Linked DNA regions of Kluyveromyces lactis. The protein of the gene in region 7 binds, or shares a complex with, the protein of the main gene of each other region. Links are inferred from orthologs where the notes say so. Each region holds a gene or a part of one and is shown on either strand. Other genes may lie near its edges. The genes, in order: MRPS18, MRPS8, MRP2, RSM18, MRPS12, RSM25 and RSM7.

Evidence for each region.
Region 1: RSM7 (region 7) and MRPS18 share a complex: the UniProt entries of both Schizosaccharomyces pombe proteins name them as parts of the mitochondrial small ribosomal subunit. The link is inferred for Kluyveromyces lactis from reciprocal best matches to the Schizosaccharomyces pombe genes rsm7 and mrps18.
Region 2: RSM7 (region 7) and MRPS8 share a complex: the UniProt entries of both Schizosaccharomyces pombe proteins name them as parts of the mitochondrial small ribosomal subunit. The link is inferred for Kluyveromyces lactis from reciprocal best matches to the Schizosaccharomyces pombe genes rsm7 and mrps8.
Region 3: RSM7 (region 7) and MRP2 share a complex: the UniProt entries of both Schizosaccharomyces pombe proteins name them as parts of the mitochondrial small ribosomal subunit. The link is inferred for Kluyveromyces lactis from reciprocal best matches to the Schizosaccharomyces pombe genes rsm7 and mrp2.
Region 4: RSM7 (region 7) and RSM18 share a complex: the UniProt entries of both Schizosaccharomyces pombe proteins name them as parts of the mitochondrial small ribosomal subunit. The link is inferred for Kluyveromyces lactis from reciprocal best matches to the Schizosaccharomyces pombe genes rsm7 and rsm18.
Region 5: RSM7 (region 7) and MRPS12 share a complex: the UniProt entries of both Schizosaccharomyces pombe proteins name them as parts of the mitochondrial small ribosomal subunit. The link is inferred for Kluyveromyces lactis from reciprocal best matches to the Schizosaccharomyces pombe genes rsm7 and mrps12.
Region 6: RSM7 (region 7) and RSM25 share a complex: the UniProt entries of both Schizosaccharomyces pombe proteins name them as parts of the mitochondrial small ribosomal subunit. The link is inferred for Kluyveromyces lactis from reciprocal best matches to the Schizosaccharomyces pombe genes rsm7 and rsm25.

Annotation. Positions count from the first base shown.
Region 1 is NC_006041.1:673,303-676,353, reverse strand, and holds MRPS18 (mitochondrial 37S ribosomal protein YmS18), read right to left. Parts: upstream 1,345-3,051; coding exon 727-1,344; downstream 1-726. Other genes in the region: serine/threonine/tyrosine protein kinase MCK1, read left to right, coding at 2,567-3,051. UniProt on the Schizosaccharomyces pombe protein: Component of the mitochondrial ribosome (mitoribosome), a dedicated translation machinery responsible for the synthesis of mitochondrial genome-encoded proteins, including at least some of the essential transmembrane subunits of the mitochondrial respiratory chain.
Region 2 is NC_006041.1:140,856-143,499, reverse strand, and holds MRPS8 (mitochondrial 37S ribosomal protein uS8m), read right to left. Parts: upstream 1,044-2,644; coding exon 576-1,043; downstream 1-575. Other genes in the region: BUG1 (Bug1p), read left to right, coding at 1-243; AIM36 (Aim36p), read left to right, coding at 1,591-2,244; U4/U6-U5 snRNP complex subunit SNU23, read right to left, coding at 2,435-2,644. UniProt on the Schizosaccharomyces pombe protein: Component of the mitochondrial ribosome (mitoribosome), a dedicated translation machinery responsible for the synthesis of mitochondrial genome-encoded proteins, including at least some of the essential transmembrane subunits of the mitochondrial respiratory chain.
Region 3 is NC_006038.1:937,083-939,726, forward strand, and holds MRP2 (mitochondrial 37S ribosomal protein uS14m), read right to left. Parts: upstream 1,018-2,644; coding exon 670-1,017; downstream 1-669. Other genes in the region: Rho family GTPase RHO1, read left to right, coding at 1-41; DCG1 (Dcg1p), read right to left, coding at 1,305-2,135; MET16 (phosphoadenylyl-sulfate reductase (thioredoxin)), read right to left, coding at 2,593-2,644. UniProt on the Schizosaccharomyces pombe protein: Component of the mitochondrial ribosome (mitoribosome), a dedicated translation machinery responsible for the synthesis of mitochondrial genome-encoded proteins, including at least some of the essential transmembrane subunits of the mitochondrial respiratory chain.
Region 4 is NC_006041.1:408,944-411,878, forward strand, and holds RSM18 (mitochondrial 37S ribosomal protein bS18m), read right to left. Parts: upstream 1,339-2,935; coding exon 871-1,338; downstream 1-870. Other genes in the region: protein kinase PKP1, read left to right, coding at 1-737; KLLA0_E04577g (uncharacterized protein), read right to left, coding at 1,568-1,954; KLLA0_E04599g (uncharacterized protein), read right to left, coding at 2,239-2,616. UniProt on the Schizosaccharomyces pombe protein: Component of the mitochondrial ribosome (mitoribosome), a dedicated translation machinery responsible for the synthesis of mitochondrial genome-encoded proteins, including at least some of the essential transmembrane subunits of the mitochondrial respiratory chain.
Region 5 is NC_006042.1:669,402-672,312, reverse strand, and holds MRPS12 (mitochondrial 37S ribosomal protein uS12m), read right to left. Parts: upstream 1,104-2,911; coding exon 600-1,103; downstream 1-599. Other genes in the region: ARC35 (Arc35p), read right to left, coding at 1-199; type 2C protein phosphatase PTC6, read left to right, coding at 2,155-2,911. UniProt on the Schizosaccharomyces pombe protein: Component of the mitochondrial ribosome (mitoribosome), a dedicated translation machinery responsible for the synthesis of mitochondrial genome-encoded proteins, including at least some of the essential transmembrane subunits of the mitochondrial respiratory chain.
Region 6 is NC_006041.1:743,533-746,680, reverse strand, and holds RSM25 (mitochondrial 37S ribosomal protein mS23), read right to left. Parts: upstream 1,537-3,148; coding exon 751-1,536; downstream 1-750. Other genes in the region: EFM6 (putative protein-lysine N-methyltransferase), read left to right, coding at 1-515; KSH1 (Ksh1p), read left to right, coding at 1,940-2,158; rRNA-binding ribosome biosynthesis protein UTP25, read right to left, coding at 2,501-3,148. UniProt on the Schizosaccharomyces pombe protein: Component of the mitochondrial ribosome (mitoribosome), a dedicated translation machinery responsible for the synthesis of mitochondrial genome-encoded proteins, including at least some of the essential transmembrane subunits of the mitochondrial respiratory chain.
Region 7 is NC_006041.1:511,852-514,966, reverse strand, and holds RSM7 (mitochondrial 37S ribosomal protein uS7m), read right to left. Parts: upstream 1,483-3,115; coding exon 688-1,482; downstream 1-687. Other genes in the region: KLLA0_E05765g (uncharacterized protein), read left to right, coding at 169-615; PSY4 (Psy4p), read left to right, coding at 2,423-3,115. UniProt on the Schizosaccharomyces pombe protein: Component of the mitochondrial ribosome (mitoribosome), a dedicated translation machinery responsible for the synthesis of mitochondrial genome-encoded proteins, including at least some of the essential transmembrane subunits of the mitochondrial respiratory chain.

The DNA.
Region 1 (3,051 bases), about 160 kb from region 7:
AATACCGAATGATATTGAAATATTCTTTAAAACGTTCAATATTACTTTTGATGAAACAATACAGATACAAGGTCGCAAGCGAAACTGTCCGTAGTCGAAAGGAATATTCAGCACGAACAGGGTATCCCTGGCCAGGTAGCACAATCGCACTGTGATTTGCAGGTACAGGATATGGCTCCAGGCTCAGGGAAGGAATGGATGATAGGCTGGATGGACAGCAGTTCCTGCCTACGCACCTCAGAATGTCAGTGCGAGTAGAGGGGAGAGTGGGCAGAATCAGAGTCCTCTCGCTGGGAAGACTAGACTCGAACGGAGCGACAGAAGGAGAACGGTGAGAACCTGGCAGCCGGAACGCCTCCTCTGCCTTTCCTTTTTTTAGAACCTCCAATTGAAATTTTAATTACCTAAAATGGAATACTAAAATACCTAACAATTTTTACAAAAAATCTAAAGCCAAATCCGTGCATCCACAAAACAGTCCCGCTACTTTCCGGAAAATTTTAAATCTTCGATGAAATTAGCATCCAGAGATTATAAGGCATGAGCAATGTCATAATTGTGTGAAATCATACTTCGAATTGCTGTCTTAATGTATTTAAACGAAAATTCTGGTGCGTTACGTTAAATTTATATACATGCATTATTTGTTATTATACCGAATTATTTTCCAAATTCATGTCTATACACAGAGACTATTAGTGAAAGATGAAATGGTGAGAGACCGAATCACAATCTTCTTGGTCTTGGGGCCTTCACACCACCGAATTTCAATTCAGTAGCATCGGCTACTCTAGATATGTGACGTCTGATGAGGTTTCCTTCCTTACCGTTCAATGCACTGATGAAAGCATCTCTTCCCTTACCGAAGTCTCTCATAACAATTTCTATATTCTTATCCAGTAGCTTCTTCTGATAAAGAGTTTCAAATAACTTAGTTGCTGTTTGGAATGAGGCTTCATATTCACCACGGGCAGCTTTACGGAACCCTAAATGACCAGTAGATAAATGAAATTTGACCTGTTGTGGGAGTTTCAAATAGTATAGATATTTTTCGTTGTAGGATAATTGTGGATTGTTCGCCAAAAAGTTTCTATCCTCCATTACGGCACTGTATGTGAAATGTGTATTGTTCTTAGTGAATCTGCAGTTCAATATATATTTTATCACTGCTTCATCGACTCTCCCTTTCTTATTGCTACCACGAAGAGTATTAGGTTGGACAACATTGGTGTCTTCCATCACTGGAGCCTTTTCTGATCCTTTGACAGATGAAAATAAGATGGAAGCCACATCTTGGTTTGTCCTGGCCGTTGAGCTGAACAGTCTCACTAATGTTCTCAGCATCGTGGTGTATTTTCGACGCCGATTTATATTAACCACAACCTGTGTCTTTCTCGAATGCAGGTCTCCATACTCAGACGAATAGTATTCCTCTATGAAATGCAAACTCTAAATATCTTCTGTTTTCCCAATTCATTTTCAAGATATGCTCATAAACCATTACCCGGTGTTGCATTAACACGTGACTAACTTGTCATTACCCGGTGTATAAGGATTAGCCTTTAATGTGAAGTGCCTGCAGTCCACTGGCGGAAGATATCACGTTGATAAAGAGTGCCGAGATGCGATGGGGTAAACATTTGATAGAAATATTATATGCAGACTGGCGAAGATCACCTCGCATTCCCCAAACCATTTCTACAACTTGATGCTACAATCAAGAGAAAGTTCAGGTGGAGGATATAGGACCTGAACCTGAGTAATTCCTCATTAATGCTATAAATGCCAATTTAACTTCGTTTGTGCATTCATATCTAGAGAGAGTGTAGTACTCTCAGAGTCGAACTTCATAAAAGCTGGCTCTGGGAGATCTTAGAATTAAATTTTGTTTGGAACGTTCCCTCAATTAGAACGTCTTTTATATCGCTTTTATCAATAATTGTGTAACTCAGTCAGTAGTCAGTCAGTCATATTGATATCAGATTCTTGGAAAACCGAATATGAAAATCAATTTTAGTTTTAGGAAATTAGGAAAAAACAAACAAAAAATAAACCAGAACCTTGTTTCAAAGTAACAAATAGGGTCTCTGATAACGGACACAACACTGCTAAGGGTGCTCAAACGTTTAAGTTCTGGGAACTTCTAGTTGTTGAATTTGCCGAGCGATTGCAGCGCGAAGAATTTACTGCGAAGAAACATTATAGACACTGCTGCATCACTTGTTGCAAGGGACTAATTGACTTGCTTGAGTAAGAGTGTTTTCCCCCTGTTGTGTTGCTTTTATTAATATTAGCGATTTCATTTCATCAATTCATTTAATACAGATTTTATTGATTCATTACAATTCAATATTTCCCTTTTTTTCCTGAACCATCCACGTTACATCCGTTAGGAACATATCTATATTCTAAGGTTTGCTTGCAAAATAACGGTTGAAGTTTGTAATTTGAAGACTTGAGCGAAATACAACGAACAAAAAGTGGTAATTTTTTTCTTATTCGATAGATATCGCATCGCTTTTGTATCTGTTACTATCTGTCTTCTTTCCCCTTATTGCGATTCGCCATGTCTATGCAAAGATTAGATGAATACGTGGCTCATGATGTCATCAGTAATAAATCCAATGTCAAGCGAGAAATGCTCGTAAAGGAATATAAGCGAATTGGGCAAGGTGCATTTGGCACGGTGGTGCAAGCTTACCTAACACCGGATAATCAGAAGTGGTTGGGTCCTTTTGCCATTAAGAAGGTTCCTGCTCAGACTGAGTATAAATCTAGAGAGTTAGAGATTTTACGAATTGCGGACCATCCAAATGTTGTCAAATTGGAATATTTCTACACTCATATCTCACCAACAGATCATAAATTATACCAACATTTGGCGATGGAATGCTTGCCCGAAATGCTACAAAACGAAATTTTACGATATAAGAAGAATAACTTGGAGTTACCGTTGAAGCACGTTAAACTATACGCCTACCAAATTGCTAGAGGTATGCTTTACCTACATGCACTAGGAATATGCCATAGAGACATAAAACCTTCAAACGT
Region 2 (2,644 bases), about 370 kb from region 7:
TCCGCTCAGCAGGAGCTATCTACGTCTAGACAAGAAGTAGAGCAGCTTAGAGCAACACAATCACCACAACTAACCCCTGTGGAATTCTCTTCCTTTGATAGACATTCTCCATCCAAATTCGAGCCATCGAGACAGATTCAGCATCCAACGACAGACCCTGTTATGTTAGCTAAGTGGAAGAACTGGAATGTCGATATGACAAATTGGAGATCAGTTGGTGTTGGCCCAGTTGTGGAATTTTAAGTAAGTTTCAGCCTTGTTACTATTACCACAGAGCTATGATTTTTTTATGATTTGTCTCATTTGTCTCGTTTAGGCAAATATAATGCTATAATGTACAAGTATACAATTATATTAGTGTATGTATAAAACTGATATTTGACACGATTGATGATTGTCGCTAAAAGGAAAATCGCACTGATTGAATGTTACTATATACATGGAATATGAGGTGGATTTCCTTTTGATGATATTGGAAGTTTCGATGGTCCATCACACATGTTGATGAAATATTCTGCACTTTGTTTTTGATTATATGACTAATGGTCTTTATTGCTGGGAATTTTACTGATGATTCACCTAATTCTGCATAGCACTTCACCACCGACTTTCTTGGCGATAGCATCATCGATATCCATAATTTCATTCCCAGATTTCACTAAAATTAATTCACCAGGAGCCAAAGGTTTGATCAATCTGACGGAGGTACCTGAACATAGTTTCTTCAAATCATGTGCATCTAGACTGATTCTCAAGTTTGGTTTTGATATCAATCTACAACTAGAAATAACTGGCTTGTTTTCCCTGTATTTTAAACCCAACCACAGTTTTCTAGTAGCGATATTATCTGGCGTTACGTCTACCGGTGTGACATCTGGGCCCTTAGTAGATCCTCGTTGTAAACTGGATAAGAAGCCATGCTTGTATAAGTTATAAGCGAAGTTCAAGTGTAACTTTGTATATGGGATTGAAGTCAAACCAATTCTTGCGCGGGAACAGTTTTGCAAGTGCGCGCAAACATTACCCAAATTCACTAATGACATTCTTGACAAAGTGTATCACAATTGTTATGGAAGCTTAATGAGGATCGTTTTTCCTTGATTGGAGAGGCCAACCCGGTAACAGTTTATCATTGAAGAGTTGTCCTTCATCTCATGTGTATAGCCCAAATTTTGGTGAACAGAAAATTTTTAGAATATCTACATATCCCACCCGTACATCACACCGTCAGTGTTTGGAAAGAAATAGCCAACGGTGTCTTTATCAGCCTAGAATGAAGCGAAAGCAGTGTTGGAAGTAAGCTGCTAGATGCAGTTTCATATAATCTTCTAACTGTACGCCTTCTCAAGCCAGGGTCCTATAATGGCAATCTCCTTACCTCTTCTCTTTTGTTTTGTACCTTATCACTTTTCTATCAAACCTGTGGAAATATTTCGTCAATGACATTTTAAGATCTTTCAATATAGCTTGCTGGAGAAGATCCGGAATGTTATGACATTTTAATTAGGATTGCTTCTTTGTTTCACTACGAGGCCTATAGCCAATCTCATCAGTAGCTATCTGCTGCACTATACAAAGATCAAGGCCGATATGTTCGTACGCGCTGCACCAAGATTATTGAAGTCTCCGGTCATGCGCCGGATGCTGTCTGGAAAAATGGATAAAGCTGAAGAACCACCAAGTTTTAAAACCATTTTACTTGTTGGTTTAGTTGGGACTGCTATTTTTGTTAAGGCAGTCGACTCTTTGGAACAGAACAAGCCTAAAAACACGTACACATTCTCTGAATTTGACACTGTGATGAGTGGTCTAAGAAGAAGAGTTTCGATCTTTGAGCAAGATGATTTAAATTTAAGATGTGTGCAAACCGGAGTTGCAACCAAGAAACTGAAATTCCCCGAAGATGCGAAGGTTATCAAACCTTCAGAAGCTATTGAATTCTTCAGAAATAAGTCTGACGATAAATATTATGTGCTTTTAAATGATTTATATGAAAAGGAGGGGAAATCGTACATGGAAAAACTACCAACAGGTCTCTCTGTCGTCTTGATAGGTAAATATATGAAGGAGAAATGTCAAAAGGGTGACACTGTTTATCTACTTGACTTCCCAGACAATATAAAAGATGCGATCAAGTTCGAAAATGAGGTTTCCGTTATCGACAAAGTTATTGTACCAAATTCAGAAGGAGACGGCCAGGTTTCCAAATACTTTAAAACCGTGGATAAAGTTGAGACCATCTAAAATGACCCCTCATGCCATTTTCCCCATCGGCACCCTTTTGCATATATCTGGGGACTTCCTATAACAATCCATCCAACTTTATCTCGATTAAACTTTGTAAATATCATCAGTATCTAATTGCCATTCAGCAGAAGTACGTTGTGAATAGTGGGATGTAGATATGCTTCGAATAAAAACGTCAATATTTATGTTATTTCTTGGAACTTCCGAATTCTGTGAAACCCATTAACCTGCCGATTTCAGACTGTGGTTGATATTTGATTTCTGCATCAGATTTCTCACATTTGACTCTCTTTGCCGCTTTGCGTTTATTGGATCTCAATTCAGTGTCCCCGATAAATGCTGATACAGATTTATGAAACTGGGATCGTACCTCATTAAGTGGTACTAGATCATTATC
Region 3 (2,644 bases), on a different chromosome or scaffold from region 7:
AGACTAAGTCTAGCAAAAAAAAGAAGTGTGTCGTCTTGTAAATAAAGACACGCACGCCCCAAACCCACTCTTCACCCCCTTATCTCCAACTTCATTTGAATTTACCTTGAAACAGAGGACTGAGCTTTGAGGATATTATTATTAGGCGATGGGAATTGTTTACAACCGTTAATTGGCAGAAGTAAAGATCCAAAAAAAAAGAAGAGGGAAGACGAACAAACCATATTCATTTGTTTCTAATTGATCAATTTTTAATATACAAATGTCAGCAATTAATTTCCGTTGAATTTCCTAATTTTTTCTCCTCGTTCTTTTCTTTGTTTCCATCTGGTTTCAAGTGACCATCCCTCCCTGACATTTTCTCTTCTACCTCTCTTCTGTTTTGTGTGTTTCTACCTATAAATTATTTTTATATACCTACACTCTTTTATTTTGTAAGAAACTTAAATATTATCACCACTATACTGCACTTTCTCATCTTATAAATGTCACTTGCTTTGCCACAACCCAAGCGCTTCTTTTACATTGATTAAACCTTGTATTTTTTAATGTCTATACACAAGCTTTATATATGTTGAGTTAATTAAAAATATTTACATGCATGCGGGAGAGAAAGATTCCAACTTTTACTAACCTCAGTATCAGGGAACAAAAGATGCTAAACTGCATCTACCATACACCCTTCTTCACACCAGGTAGATCACCTTTCCTGGCAAGTTCTCTGAATTGCGATCTACACAATCTGAAATCACTCAGAACAGATCTGGAGTGTCCCGTTTCAATACATCTGTTCTTGATTTGTGTCATTCTTGTATAGTTAGGCATCACAGAAAGTTGTAACTGAGCTTCCATTCTCGACCTTGGAGGTAGAGTAGTATTTCTAGCAATGAATTTCAATGCCTTTACAGTGACTTCATTGTCTGCAACTTGCTGTCTCTTGAAATTGTCTCTGATAACTCTAGCATTCAAATACGTTGAAGGAAGCTTTGTCTTGATTGGAAATCTGAAACCACCCATGTTGTTTATATCTACAGCCTTCCTTTGGATATACTAATTGCTAGGATAACTATCGAAATTAGTCTCACAGATACTGAATACGCCGAAAACCAAAGAATGCATCCACTAATGCTTGAACTTTATTCTTCATCTTCCGGAGAAGCTCCAAACTCGTTTTTTTCTCTTTCAAAGCTTGAAGTTCATATCATGTTAAACGTTCTTGATGGAGGTCACCTGACTATATTGGCACTATACACGTTATATAAGGAATGGAATGAACACAGCACCATGCCAATGGACTCCCAGTATCATGACTTCTTGATTTCAACTGTATCACCTCTTAGTTCTCTTGCCTTTCTAGCACTTGAATAAGCTCCTTGTTTGGATGTACCGTGTAATCCACTTCTGTAGACAGCCGAAACAATGTTGATCCCGCATACCACTCCGTCAATAATTGGCACTTCATAGCCATTCTGCTGTAAAGCGTTTGCAACAGCATTTTTCAAGTCGCTCATCCCTGCACAGCCCAAGATGATGGTGTCTGCGTGATATTCTTCTACTAAGGTCAAGGCAGTTTTAGACATTGTTTTATGAAGCTCAGCTTCTTCCACTTTGACCAAATCCGATACGGTTTTGATACCAGAACTTAACAATCCAACGCAAAATGTGGACATGCCAAGACCTGCTATGGTTTCCTCATCTCTTAACTGAGCCTTGTAAATTGATGCAAGAATACCGAATTTTGATCCAATGATCCTGGATGAGTACACGGCTGCTTCCACGATACCCATGCACACAACATCATCAAATTCTTCCCTGATAGATTTTATCAATGGATGGTCGCTAAAACATCCAACAAGTACACAATCGACTTGGTTTATTACATCGTAAGCATCTTCCATAACGGCAATTGCAGATTGAATACCATCGAGATGACCCTCAATCACATTGGGTGCCTTACCAAATGGTGCAGTGTACCCGTAAACCACAGTGTCTGGAGCTACATGACCAGCCAATATCTTTAAACAGGCATCGGTCATTGCTTGGGTTGAATTAGGGTTTACAAATAAGACCTTGATGAGCTCATCATCTGGTAAACTCTTCTTGTGCTTTACGAAAGGTAATTTAGACAACGACATCCTTGCTTGTTAGTGTCAGCTATGTTCTATGATTCAATATGTTAATCATCCTGGAATAATGAGCTACTTGACTCCTATCATACAGAGTTATATAAGTTTCTCTCTTTGGTTTATGTTGCTTTTCGTATCTGTCCGGACGCATGTTTTCAGAACCTTTGATTCATTTTTTCCCGGTTATCATAGTGTGAATCAGCCCAAAAACTTTAGGCTTTGACAGTCATGAGAATTGATGAGAGATTCAAGCTGGGGGTTTCTCTTCCAAGTTGCATGGGTAAGGTTCGCAACTGTTCATACACTTTCCACCTTAGTCGCAACATATATAATATGTACATTAAGTGACTAAAAATGTCACGTTGTGTATCTAAACTGAAACCATAAATAAAGCTAGATAAGAGATGCCGCATGCACAGTATACAACAGAAAAGATATATATATATATATATATATCAAACACATATCATTCTCTTTGTTTGAGATATTGTGCAAATCTGCTTGTCTCGTGAATCCCA
Region 4 (2,935 bases), about 100 kb from region 7:
AATTCTTGAATGATCACCAGGATACGTTACTTACGTTATCAAATGGGTTGCAGGAAGTGAGCCGTTTTTATGATCCAGAAAACATATTCAAGTTTTTGAATAAGCATTTACATGACAGAATATTGATGAAGTTGTTGACTACCAACTATTTGAAGCTCTTGGAACAGACTTCTTCCGATGAGGTCATTGGCGTCATCCATAAAGATTTGCATATATCTGACTTAGTTACAAGAACGAACGAATTTGTTAACGATTTGACATTTATCAAATACGATAAGACCGTTCCAGTGAAAATTATGGAAGGGTCTGATGTGAAATTTTCATATATACCTACGGATCTAGAATACGTCCTTCAAGAATTGCTTAAGAACAGCTCGAGAGCACATATTGAAAACAACGTTGACAAAGATGTGGAAGTAACAATAGTGAAAAACGACGATCAACTTGAGATCAGAATCAGAGACTTCGGAGGCGGTATAGATCCACAGGTAGAAGACCGAGTCTTTGATTATTCTTTTTCCACAACGGTGAAGGAAGAGAAGGACAGCGGTATGAGCGATTATGTTTTACCTGGTCAAGAAGTCCAAAACGTTGCAGGTATGGGATTCGGACTTCCAATGTGCAAAGCGTACCTAGAGTTGTTCAATGGTACACTTGACATTCAGTCATTGTGGGGATGGGGTACTGATGTTTATATACGATTGCACGGTCCATCGGATAGACTATTCGACAAATGAGAACACTGTACTATCATTCAGTCCCGGAGCTTTCCATTGCAACGTGTTTATACTGTTAGCGCTATTTACAGATATAATCCTATTTATTGAGAAACATATATTCATATATACAAGAAGTTATCACATGTCATGATTAGCTTCTGTTTGCAGTTCTTTGAGGAAGCACCGATATGTCTTTGTGAACCTTAGACATCAAACCTATTGCTTGGCATCTCTTAATAGCCTTTGTTAGACGACGCTGGTTCTTAGCCGATAAACCAGTTACATCTCTGTGTAATATTTTACCCGTTGATGTCACAAATCTTGACAAGAACTCTGGGTTGGTGTATAAATCAAGTGGATTGATCTTCAATTTGTTGAATGGGTCAAACGATCCAGGACGTACCCCAAACTTCTTATCTAAATGTATTCTTTCTAAGGAGAAATCAAATGGATTGTAAACGGAGCCCGGCTGAAAGTTTTTGATTAACTTGGATTCTAGCTTCTTGATTGTGGGCTTGCTATTAGCTTCCGACATACCTTCTTTCAGAAGTTTTTGGTCAAGACTGTTGCAGACATATCTTGTGGTAGAAAAGAATCTTGCGCAGCTGCGGGAAAACATTTCTTCTGATGTGTTTTAATTTATTCAATCTCTCGTTAACAGGCGTAGAAAGGCCCGAGCGACTTGGTTGTTTTCCTTCTCTTGCTTGCTTAATATTCATGTTATTGAATAAAATTTTCCATGTTGAAAAGATCTCTAAATTTCAAAAAAAAAGAGATTGAAATAAAGGATACTTAAGTCATTGCCAGGCATTCAACCTTTTTCCTGTTGTCAACCCAGTTTACGCAGATCAACCTTGGAGGTGTAGCGCGATTGATCGGAAAGCTCTTGCAGGAAGTCGGGCATCCCTGTGGATCAAACCCGGCGCGCTCCAGCACCTACAGGCCGATGCAATCGGCCTCCTATTCTTTGACCTGGCCAAAACTGATGATCCGTTTGCTGGGTACCGGCGACGGTACCGCTGAGCGCTGCTATGCCGGCAGTCAGGTTGGTTATAGCCAGCAAAATGGAGCCGAGTGCCTACCCAGGTCAGCGGTGCGTTGCGCTTGGTCACGTGTGAGATTTCGTGTGCCAGCATCGAGGCTAGCTGGCTTTCATTGTCGGTAACCTGCAGCAGTAATGGATCTTTGATCAGCGGCGCGCTGGCGCGCTGCTGCCGCACGTAGAAATCGCCCATAGCCAGCCGTGGGCCACAATCAAACGTTTACCCCAGCTTTTCGGCAGGGTCTTGATTCTTGGCTGGATCTGATGGGAATAATGAATCAGTAAATAACTGCGATTCTGAACTAATTCGAGGATTTTATCAATATTGGTGTGATTTCCAATGTAACATCAATTCATCTATTATCAGTCAGTGTTCTATCCGCTCTGGTGGTTATTCAGGTTAAGTAGGTTAACATATAAACGTAACAACAAATTAAAAAGCTGGAAAATATTACTACTTTTCCAGCTTTCAATCCATTAATCGTTAAATACAAAACTTTCTTCAGCTAGATTGTGGTCTTTTCTATAACTCTCGTCCAATATTAAATAATCATCTGGTTGTTTAGAGCTTACTCCTTTCAACCAAAACTGTTCACCGTAAGCTATCAGCATTGCCCAATGATACTCAAGTTCATGGCTACGAAGACATACTGCCAGATAACTATCAATGGGCTTACATACTAATGAAGACGATAAAACCATTAATTCAGCCTCATCTTCTTTTTTATTTGCATACTTAACGATAATTGCTTTAAGCATTTCTACCCAAGTATGGAAATTAAAAACAACTGTTTCTTCAGGATCATCTTCGTCTTTAAAAACAACTCCATCAACAATTTTATCCTTATTAATCATTATCGACAACCTCTAACTTTAAATCTATCAAACAGCGCAGCTGCTTTCTTTCTACAAATAGCAAGTTGTGTCTCTTTAGATCTAGGAATGGCGAGGGGGGGTTAATAATTCTATTAATTGTATCAATTCTAATAATGATTATATTTATAGTTATTTATACTCATATTATACTTCCGCGTCTCATTAATGTAATATTAATGAGGCGCGATTTGATTTTGATGAAATTAATTAAAAAAATAGAGAACTAAAATCAAGGCACAGACAAAGATAAGTACACGCAGAACCGCATCTATCTGGTGGACGTGAGCCAGGCAAATAA
Region 5 (2,911 bases), on a different chromosome or scaffold from region 7:
TACAAGATTGCGTAGCCTTGGTTCTGATGGAAACTAATAGGTTCGACTTATCAGTGCCATCGTTGGTGATGTGTAACGTTGTATAATCAAAGTCGGAGATGATTCTGTCCAAAGTTAAAGGAGACCCATTGTTGTAAGCTTCCAAAGCTTCTGTTAATGTCTTTTGGACCAATAGGTTGTATGGTTTAAGGTGTAACATTATTATGTATTGATATTAGAAGGCTCACAAGTGTTCACCCAGGCTTTTTTTTCGAACAAGTCTATGAGCTTTTCTTCAATTGACTTGGAACAATATCAACTTGTAAGTTTCCTCAACACTGAGCAGGTTTAGTCTCTTCGAAATTTCCCAATTCCTTGCAGATGATGAATCTTTCTTTCTGTTTGTTCCAATAGGGGCACCTTTTCGTTGAAATCGTTGTTAACTAAATTTTCAGCACTTTTCTATGATGGAAAAACCATCCGAACAAAATTTCGGTCACGTGGCCATAAAGATTGAGCAACCAGTAGATAGATTATTCGCATATTTACATGAAGGTCTAGTTTATAAACATAAGTATATATTTTATGTTGATAATTCAGAATATAATACTGTTGGTATCTTACTCCTTTGTTGGTTTCTTCACACCGTACTTCGATCTGGAGCTGATTCTGTTGACAACACCGGCCAAATCACCGGCACCACGGACAACATGATATTTCACACCAGGTAAATCTTGGCAACGGCCTCCACGAACATATACAATACTGTGCTCTTGTGCGTTATGGCCTTCGCCTGGGATATATGCAGAAACAATGTTACCATTGGTTAATCTCACTCTACAAGCTTTTCTCTGAGCAGAATTAGGTTTCTTTGGCTTCAATACCATCACTCTTAGCACAACTCCTTTACGAATCGGGCATACCTCCAAATCTGGGGATTCAGTGATCTTCTTACGGCCAGGAGGCTTGACCCCTCTCTTTATTTGGTTCAACGTGGCTTGTATTGGTGAAGTATATGAGAAAGAACGTTGTTGCAGTGGTGGTGCAAATGCTATGCTTGAACGAACATTACGCAACGATAGTCTAGTCAGACTACTGCTCAATCCGAAAACCTGTTTGAACATTGGTATCTTTGACAGGATTGTTTCTTAAGATCCAGTGCACGTAAGTCAAACTCAGAGTTGAACTTACGCCAACATTTATTCACTGACCGATTGATATAACTCTTTCAATTCAACATTTGCTTCATAATTTTTTGTCAGTTTCTGATGATGAAAAATCATAGTTGAAAATATTCGGAAGTCATGTGATCGAATATGTGTTGTTGCTGATGTCCGGGAAATTGTTCAGAAAATGTGCATGGTTTGAGAGATCTTTTAACCTAAAAGATTTTGTTCATTTCGTTGGGAACACCAGCTGCACTATGCGGGTTCCGAATTACGAGAAAAGTCCTTACTGAGGTAGTTGTTGTATTTCCTATTTTGAAATATCAAACAACTATACTGGATTATGGACGATCAAGCTGTAAGGTGGGTGCAGGTAAATAGGGTGTTTGAACCAACTACTTGAATTATGCGTGATAGAATATTGCGGGGTAGTTTGACTTCCGGGCTCGAGTAATTAGGTAGGCTGGTGTTAAAGCGACTGTCTATTTTTTTAGTTTTTGTATCACGTGCATAAGATCAGATAGTTTTCTCTCCTGGTGTCTGCTGCCGAGTAACAGCCGTTCCGTCACTATTTGGCAAAATGCGTCAAGATAGCCCCATATACGGTAGTTAACGATAGCAATGGCTTATATACACCTCCATATCACGCTAGCATGTGGTAATGAAACACTAGTGAGATTTTGACGGTTTCCTATATGAAGAGGGTAGTGTTGAAGCACTATTGCGGAATGTATAGAAAAAAAAAAAAAAAAAAAAAAAAAAAAAAACAGTAGGTACACTTTAAAGGAAAATAAATCTAGTTATAATAAAGTCTAGTGAATATACAAGGGTTTGGCTCTTTTTTTTGGCTCGTTGATGCATCCGCCACACACGAGAGAAGTGTTTTCAATTGGCATTCTTGAACCTTTCTTATATGTCTGGGGTATTCGGTTATAAGATATTGTGAGGCTAATTCTTGTGTTACCATTTGTGTTAAGTTGAACACGATTGTGATTATAGCCAACCCGAGATGGGTAAAACCCAGTCATTCATTCACCTAAGGCCAGCTGATCTTCTACAAAAGACAGCTGGCAGATCGACTCTACAAACTACAGCGGCAAGCCATGCTGCTTCGAAAGAAACAAAACCTCATATGTTAAGGGTTCATTTGAACAAATATCCTGGTTTCATCGGGCATGCGACTTCAAGGATTAATAGACTATACAACGAGGATTCTTATTCTATGAATATTCTGAAGTTGCCAACAACTATAGCCGAAAGCTCGTTGTTAAACTCAAAAAAATCGATCGCTACTAAGATGAAACTTTGGAAAGAATTACCTCCCCAGAGAAACGTTTTGAATATTTCTATATTTGACGGTCATGGAGGAGATCGTGTCTCTAAGATGCTGGCTTCAGGTTTGCACGATCATATAACAGCTATGGTCCCCATCAGACAAGAGTTTGACGCTGTATTAAAAAAATATCAGGACTTAGTGGGGGGGAAGTACTGGTCGAGGATATACAAAGGTAGAAAGGAGTACTATGAGAGGTATATCAAAAAATGTAACACTAAAGTGGAGCAAGTCCTACTCACGGACGGTGTAGCGCCAAAAAATGGGGCAAGAATGATCTTTGACAAATGGGGAAACATTATTGACAAGACAAGCTTGTTGAGTGAATACGAACGTTTACGTTTGTACATATCCTACCTCAATTATGACTTAAATGAAATATGTGGATTTTCTTCGGATTTAGAACCAGAAGAAGCAATGAAAATATTCACTG
Region 6 (3,148 bases), about 230 kb from region 7:
TGCTAAGTCATTTGTTTCCAGATGGGAATTGCAATAGCGTTTTGGAACTGGGTAGTGGTACAGGTCTAGTTGGGCTTTGTGTTGGTCTAATGGATCAAGCGAATGAATATTCAGATCGTGAAGTTTATATTTCTGACATTGATCAGCTGCTTGGTCTCATGGAATCTAATATTCAAGTCAACGGATTGGATGATAAGGTTCACGCCGAGGTGTTATGGTGGGGGAATCCCTTGCCGGATGTATTTGTCAAGAAACCGGTTGATTTAGTGCTAGCTGCGGACTGTGTGTACTTAGAAGCTGCTTTCCCATTATTGGAAAAAACACTGTTAGAATTAACTGATGGGGAGAATGTGCCAATTATTCTAATGGCATACAAGAAAAGGCGTAAAGCGGACAAACATTTCTTCCAAAAGATCAAGAAGAACTTTAAAATTGTAGAGATACGAGATTTTATTAACTTCGATAAATATTTGAAACAGAGAACTCATTTGTTTCAGCTTATGAGGGAGAAATAAAAAAATAGTAGTAGGGTGACAACTGACGTTTGTCAAATGCAAAGACACCCCATTTAGTTTGATCTTTTATGCTTTTTGTGATGCTCATGAAAGTACTTTCAATTCGTGAATTAACTATGAGTAACTTTATAGTTATAGTGACTTATATATACATGAAATTTTTATACAATAATGACAGTAAAACTCAGAGTTCTGACGGGAATAGTGTTCATTGGTTGTGTTTAATTGTGGAAGATCATAGTTGAATTTCCTCAACATCTTGATCAATAGGTTTTTGTTCTTCTTCGGTCTCGTTTGTCCAGGAAGCAGAAGGACTACTTGCTCTGGCAGCCATCAACTCAGCTTGCTGTAAGGCCTTTCTCTTCCATGTGTCAATGACCTTTTGTTCCTTAGCAATTCCGTATTCTATTGAAGTGGTATGGAAGACTGAACCGAACATTTCGGCTTCTTCTTGAGCAACTTGATCTTGAATTTCTTGTTGTATTCTTAGACGGTAGAACTCGAATCTAGCTTGATCATATGCATCAATGAGTTCTTTTTTCTCTCCTGATTTTAATAGGAAAAGCGTCCTTTGTACAACTGATTCGCCATCCAATGGCTTGCCTAGTTGTTGGATATGAGACCAGTCATATTCTTGAGTCTCTAGGGTATTCTCAACAAGAATCTTAGGTCTTGAAAGTTCCCATGGATGTTGCTGGAAGAACAATTTTCTCAATTTATCCTCGATATATACTAATTTTGGGGACTGATATAGCTTCGATGCACCATCTTTCTTTTCCAAAGAATTTGGTCTAGTTTTGTATAATCCTGAAGAATTGGCCTTCCAATTGCTGTAATCAGGTAGTGCAGTTCTAGATTTACCGTTCATAGGATGTGTCAGTTGTGGGGTTCTAGCAAACTTCTTTGTTGGTGGTACCTTCGCTATAACATTGTACCAAGCTGGAGTCTTCTTCAAAATACCAGACTTCAAATAGGCGGATGTACGTTCTAGTACATTAACGGCTTCTTGCTGAACCTTCATTTTATATCTGACGTTTATATGGCCCGTTTACTCTATACTATCTCAGTAAACTCGCAGGTTCAAGCAATCGATCCAATACTTGTTGTCCTGGAGCTGTTCATACAGCATATTTGTGAACTTTTCAACTTTTCACTATAATTTCATTTTGGATCGTCGATCAGATTTTTCAAATTTTTCTAAGTAGAAGCATTCAATTTTTAGATCACGTGAAGAGTAAACATTTTTCACCAAAATTAAAGATCGAAGAGCTAAGTGTATGGGGAGCGTAAGTTCCTTTATTCTTTTCAATACAGTGGAATGATAACTGATGAACCTTAGGTTTCATCTCGTTCCTGTTTTGAAAGGTTCAGAGTAGATATTTTCTTCGGCAGAATATTCACGGTCACTAGCTTTTCTGAAAAACATGTCTGCCCTATTCAATTTTAAATCATTGTTACAAGTTATACTATTGTTCATATGTTCGTGCACATATATTCATGCACAAAGACCATCGCTCCTTGATCGTTATAAGGACAGCGGTATACTAGGAGTATTTTGGAAGTTTGCGAGAATTGGGGAAAGAGCTAGTCCTTATGTGTCTTTAGCTTGCATTGCCATGGCAGTTTCGCAATTCAACAGTTGATAAACCCAAGGGAAAAGATAAAGATAAGTCACAATTGCTATAGGTGAAAGCTCTCATTAGCAAGTTTGACCGGCTCTGAGGTCTATAGAATTATATTTTAAGTATAAAATTAGTTTAATCTATTATCGGGCGGCTATTGGATTCGTTTGCGGGCTTGTCTCTTTGCATCAAATAATTAAGAATTAATATGTACTCTTTGAATCTGACTTTGAGTTTCAAAATTCTACAACAAACAAAGAAGTTGAAAAGTGCAACATATTTTAATACTCTAAGCTATTAGTAAAGGAGAACGATTGCGTAAGTTTTCGGTTTACTAATTATTTATGGCATATTTGATCCACTCTATTTAAACTCGTACACTTCGTTTTGGCCATGAGCCAATACTGCCGCGCGTTTAGATCCTACGACTCTCTCTAGAGAAAGACCGTCCATCTTACTATATATGCATCTGACAGTTGAAATGTTGATATCACAGTTGCCTAAAAATACGTTCTTACCAATATTGCGAACAACTTCAGAATAGAATTCAGGATTTCCCGGAGGCTTGTAGAAAATTACACTCTTGACGTTTTTTATTTCGTACCTTCTAAAGTGGTGCAATCTTTCTGTGTATAACAAGACCTTCACCTTTCCGTGTTGGAATCTTGCTCTATTGGATGTCAATTGTTTCTGGTTAGAGTACTCGTTGATTTCTCCGAATATGATTGTAGTTTTTTCTTTCAAATAGTTTCTAACACGGATGAAATCGGTATAATCAGGAATGTATAATAATATACCATCCTCGTACCCAGTAGATTTCACAATAGACGGAACGATGACACTCGTAAAAAATTTAAACCTGTAATCAGGTTCATCTAGAGCTGTCCCTCCTGCTAAATCAAATCTTTGGAATATTTGTCTAACCTTTAGTCCTAATTGACCAATGCTTGATTGTTCAGGTTTTATCTTCCTATGATTTTTCCATCTTCCAGCAAGATTACGACACTTCCC
Region 7 (3,115 bases):
ATGAAACTATATAATCGTGCAAGATGACTTTCGGATCGCATAAAGAAGTGAAGCATTGATGTAGGATTAAGGTTTCCAATGCGATGAGAGAGTTGAGTTTATCACTTCATTTAGAAATTGTGTAGAGTGTATGCAACTCTTATTGAGAGTTTTTATGAAAATTGATAAATGATAAGATATAAATACGCAGTAACATTTTTCTCGAGTGTATGTTTTGTTGTCTTCCTCGGATTAACTACTGATGCCAGGTTAAAGCTAATAACATCAACTCATGATAAGCTCGCCCATTGCATAGTATTTTGCATTGAAACCGTTCTGTTTACCATGATGTTTGAATGTGATACCGTACAGTTGCCGGCATTCATCCCCAAAAGACTACGATCAAGGAATTTGGCTGCGTACGAACCTTTTTCCATGAACAAATATCTATTGGCATTTATTGTATGCTGCGTATGTGCCAGTACGAGCAGTGAATTTGCACAACAGTTCCTCTCACGAGGAAAAAGGTCCTTTGATGTAAACGATATTTTGGCCAATTTTTCGGGAAGTCTGCTGGGCCTAGGAATTGCATATAAGATAGAGCAACAAATTCAGCATAACTATGAAAATCGATAACGTTCATTTATATTTCACGTATACATATGTACAGGTTTATTCAAGTAAATACAGTGGAGGTTGGAACTTTGATCATTTTAGGTTAATGTAAGCTCTGTGTGCAATAGCAGTCTTATGAATAGAGTCTCTCTTTTCGAAACCTGAACTATTACCGTTGAAGACAGATACCAATTCTTCACCAAGTCTTACTGAGAAATCGCTCGATGATCTCTTCACAGAACTTTCCACAATCCATTTCCAAGCTAATCTAAACCTTTGTCTTTGATTCAATGGAACTGGAACCACAGTGGCCTTTGCGACACCAGTCTTGAAGGTCTTGATAACCATAAGAGGCGCCAACACATCCAAGGATTCTTTCAAAACTTTTACCGGGTCTTTCCTTGTTTGACAGAACACAATATATAACGCTCTTGAAAGAATCTTCTCAGCTCTTTCTCTTTTCCCGTGTCTCATAATCATATTCGTTACATGCTGTAAAACTGGATCCTGTTTTTTTGGAATGGGAACTTGCTTCAACGTTTCCCATTCATTTATTTGCTCTTGACTTGGCTCAAAGCTGGGCTTGTTCAATTCCATAGCCTTCTCCAAGATATTAATTCTAGATTGGTTACCTGGTGCAAGGGACGTAGCTGGGTTATAATCTTGTTGCGAAAACTCTTCTTCTAACGATCCAATAACTTTCAACCATTCATCAACCTGTTCGTCGCTAAGGCTAGCTAATTTCTCCCCTGTAGACGCATTATTATTCACAGATTGACTTTGGAATCTGGTTTGCATGGTCGGTATACTGGCAGCATGTACAAGTGGACTTCTTGCCAAAACGTTAGCATGGACGTGACTCAGACTAAACCTTCCTGCTCTCAACATACTGTACAATTTCCGTTGAATAGATGCCAGTGTACACAAGGACCACACAAGGACACACACAATACAACCAGAACCTATTCAATCTAAGAGTAACTCTCATTAGATCCAAATTCAAGCTTACTTCACCAGAATATGATGATATTGAATTTGGTTTGAAAATCGTAAATTTTTTTGATCAAAGGTTCAGAGATGAGCCAGTGTGAACAGTGTTACCCGCATAAATACACGTGACTACTAATGATCTGTTTCTATGTGCCGTTGGTAGTTTTGCCTGTCAGTGCATTGAGCACAAGCTTGCCAAGAATAATTAATGATATTATATAGACTGTACCTTATTAGACACCTTAGCCTTTAATATTATAGTAAAGATGTCGTTGATCTATTTTGTATTCAGGTATGTAACTATAGTATCTTTAGAACTTCCGTACTTAAGTGTTAAAATTCCTGCCGTTCTTAAGTGAAATCCTTTAAATAATATCACATTTCGTTACGTGAAAAGTTGGTGAAATTTGTTATATGCGCACAATATTATGTGAAATGATAAATAAAAGAAATTTGTTCAAATAACATGTAGGTTTCTAAGCTACAAAGATAGAACGGTCAATCAACAGACTAGAGAACGAACTTTATAAGGCTGCTGGCTGAGCTGGGATTGGCTAACCGTGTACTGTCTATTGGGACTAGGTGTTACAAGTCCGTTGTTTCATATTATTTTCCGAGACTATCCTTTTTATCTATTCTATATCTGCCAGTTTGGAATAAAAAAGGCATCGCTCATACTGGACTTATTTGTGCTAATTAGAATACCCCGAGAACACCGATCTTTCGTTAGTGCCATTTCAAGGAGATCTAACCAAGTGTAATATTACTATACCGTAGAATTTTTTTTTTTTTGCCAGCCTTTCCTACTATCAGCTCATTAATCAGATACATTGTCAATATGATGGGAATAAAATCCAGACATCTATACGACCGTTTGACTAAAATAGTTATCGATAAAGATCTAAGCGCGTTTAACGAAATATCGCCTTCGCAATTGATCCCACAGCTATCTGAACATTTCAGCATAACGATACCGAAGGAGATCTTCAATTATAACGAGGACCAAGAGGAAGACCTTTTACACAGATTGAAAGAGCTATCGAGGTACCTTGTTGTGAAATTTGCAAAAAGAGATAAGTATCCGTTCACGATTCAACGGATATGCGAATTATCTTACCATCCATTACAATATTTCCCTGTGCACAGTTTGCAAAAGTTTGTGTCGGCCATGGAGAAATGTTGCTTGGTGAATACTGATTGGACACCCAGGCTGGGCAAAGAGTGTCCAAACACAAACCCAATGGAAGATGTTTCTCTGATACCTATTGAGTGGATCCGCACGAATAAAGAAGATGAGAAGTCTTTGCAGGCGTTTATTTCGAAGATTGAAACTATAGTGGCTGTAAATTTTGGTTATGATGACTTCGACGACGACAATGAAGATGGTACAGATCATGACATCGGTCGTGGATATGATAACCATGGCGATGTGCTCATCGAGGAATACGAGGAAATGGATGAAGAATTCGAAGATGAGGACTATGAGGATCACGAAGATGAAGAAGAAGATGAAGAAGACGAAGACAACGAC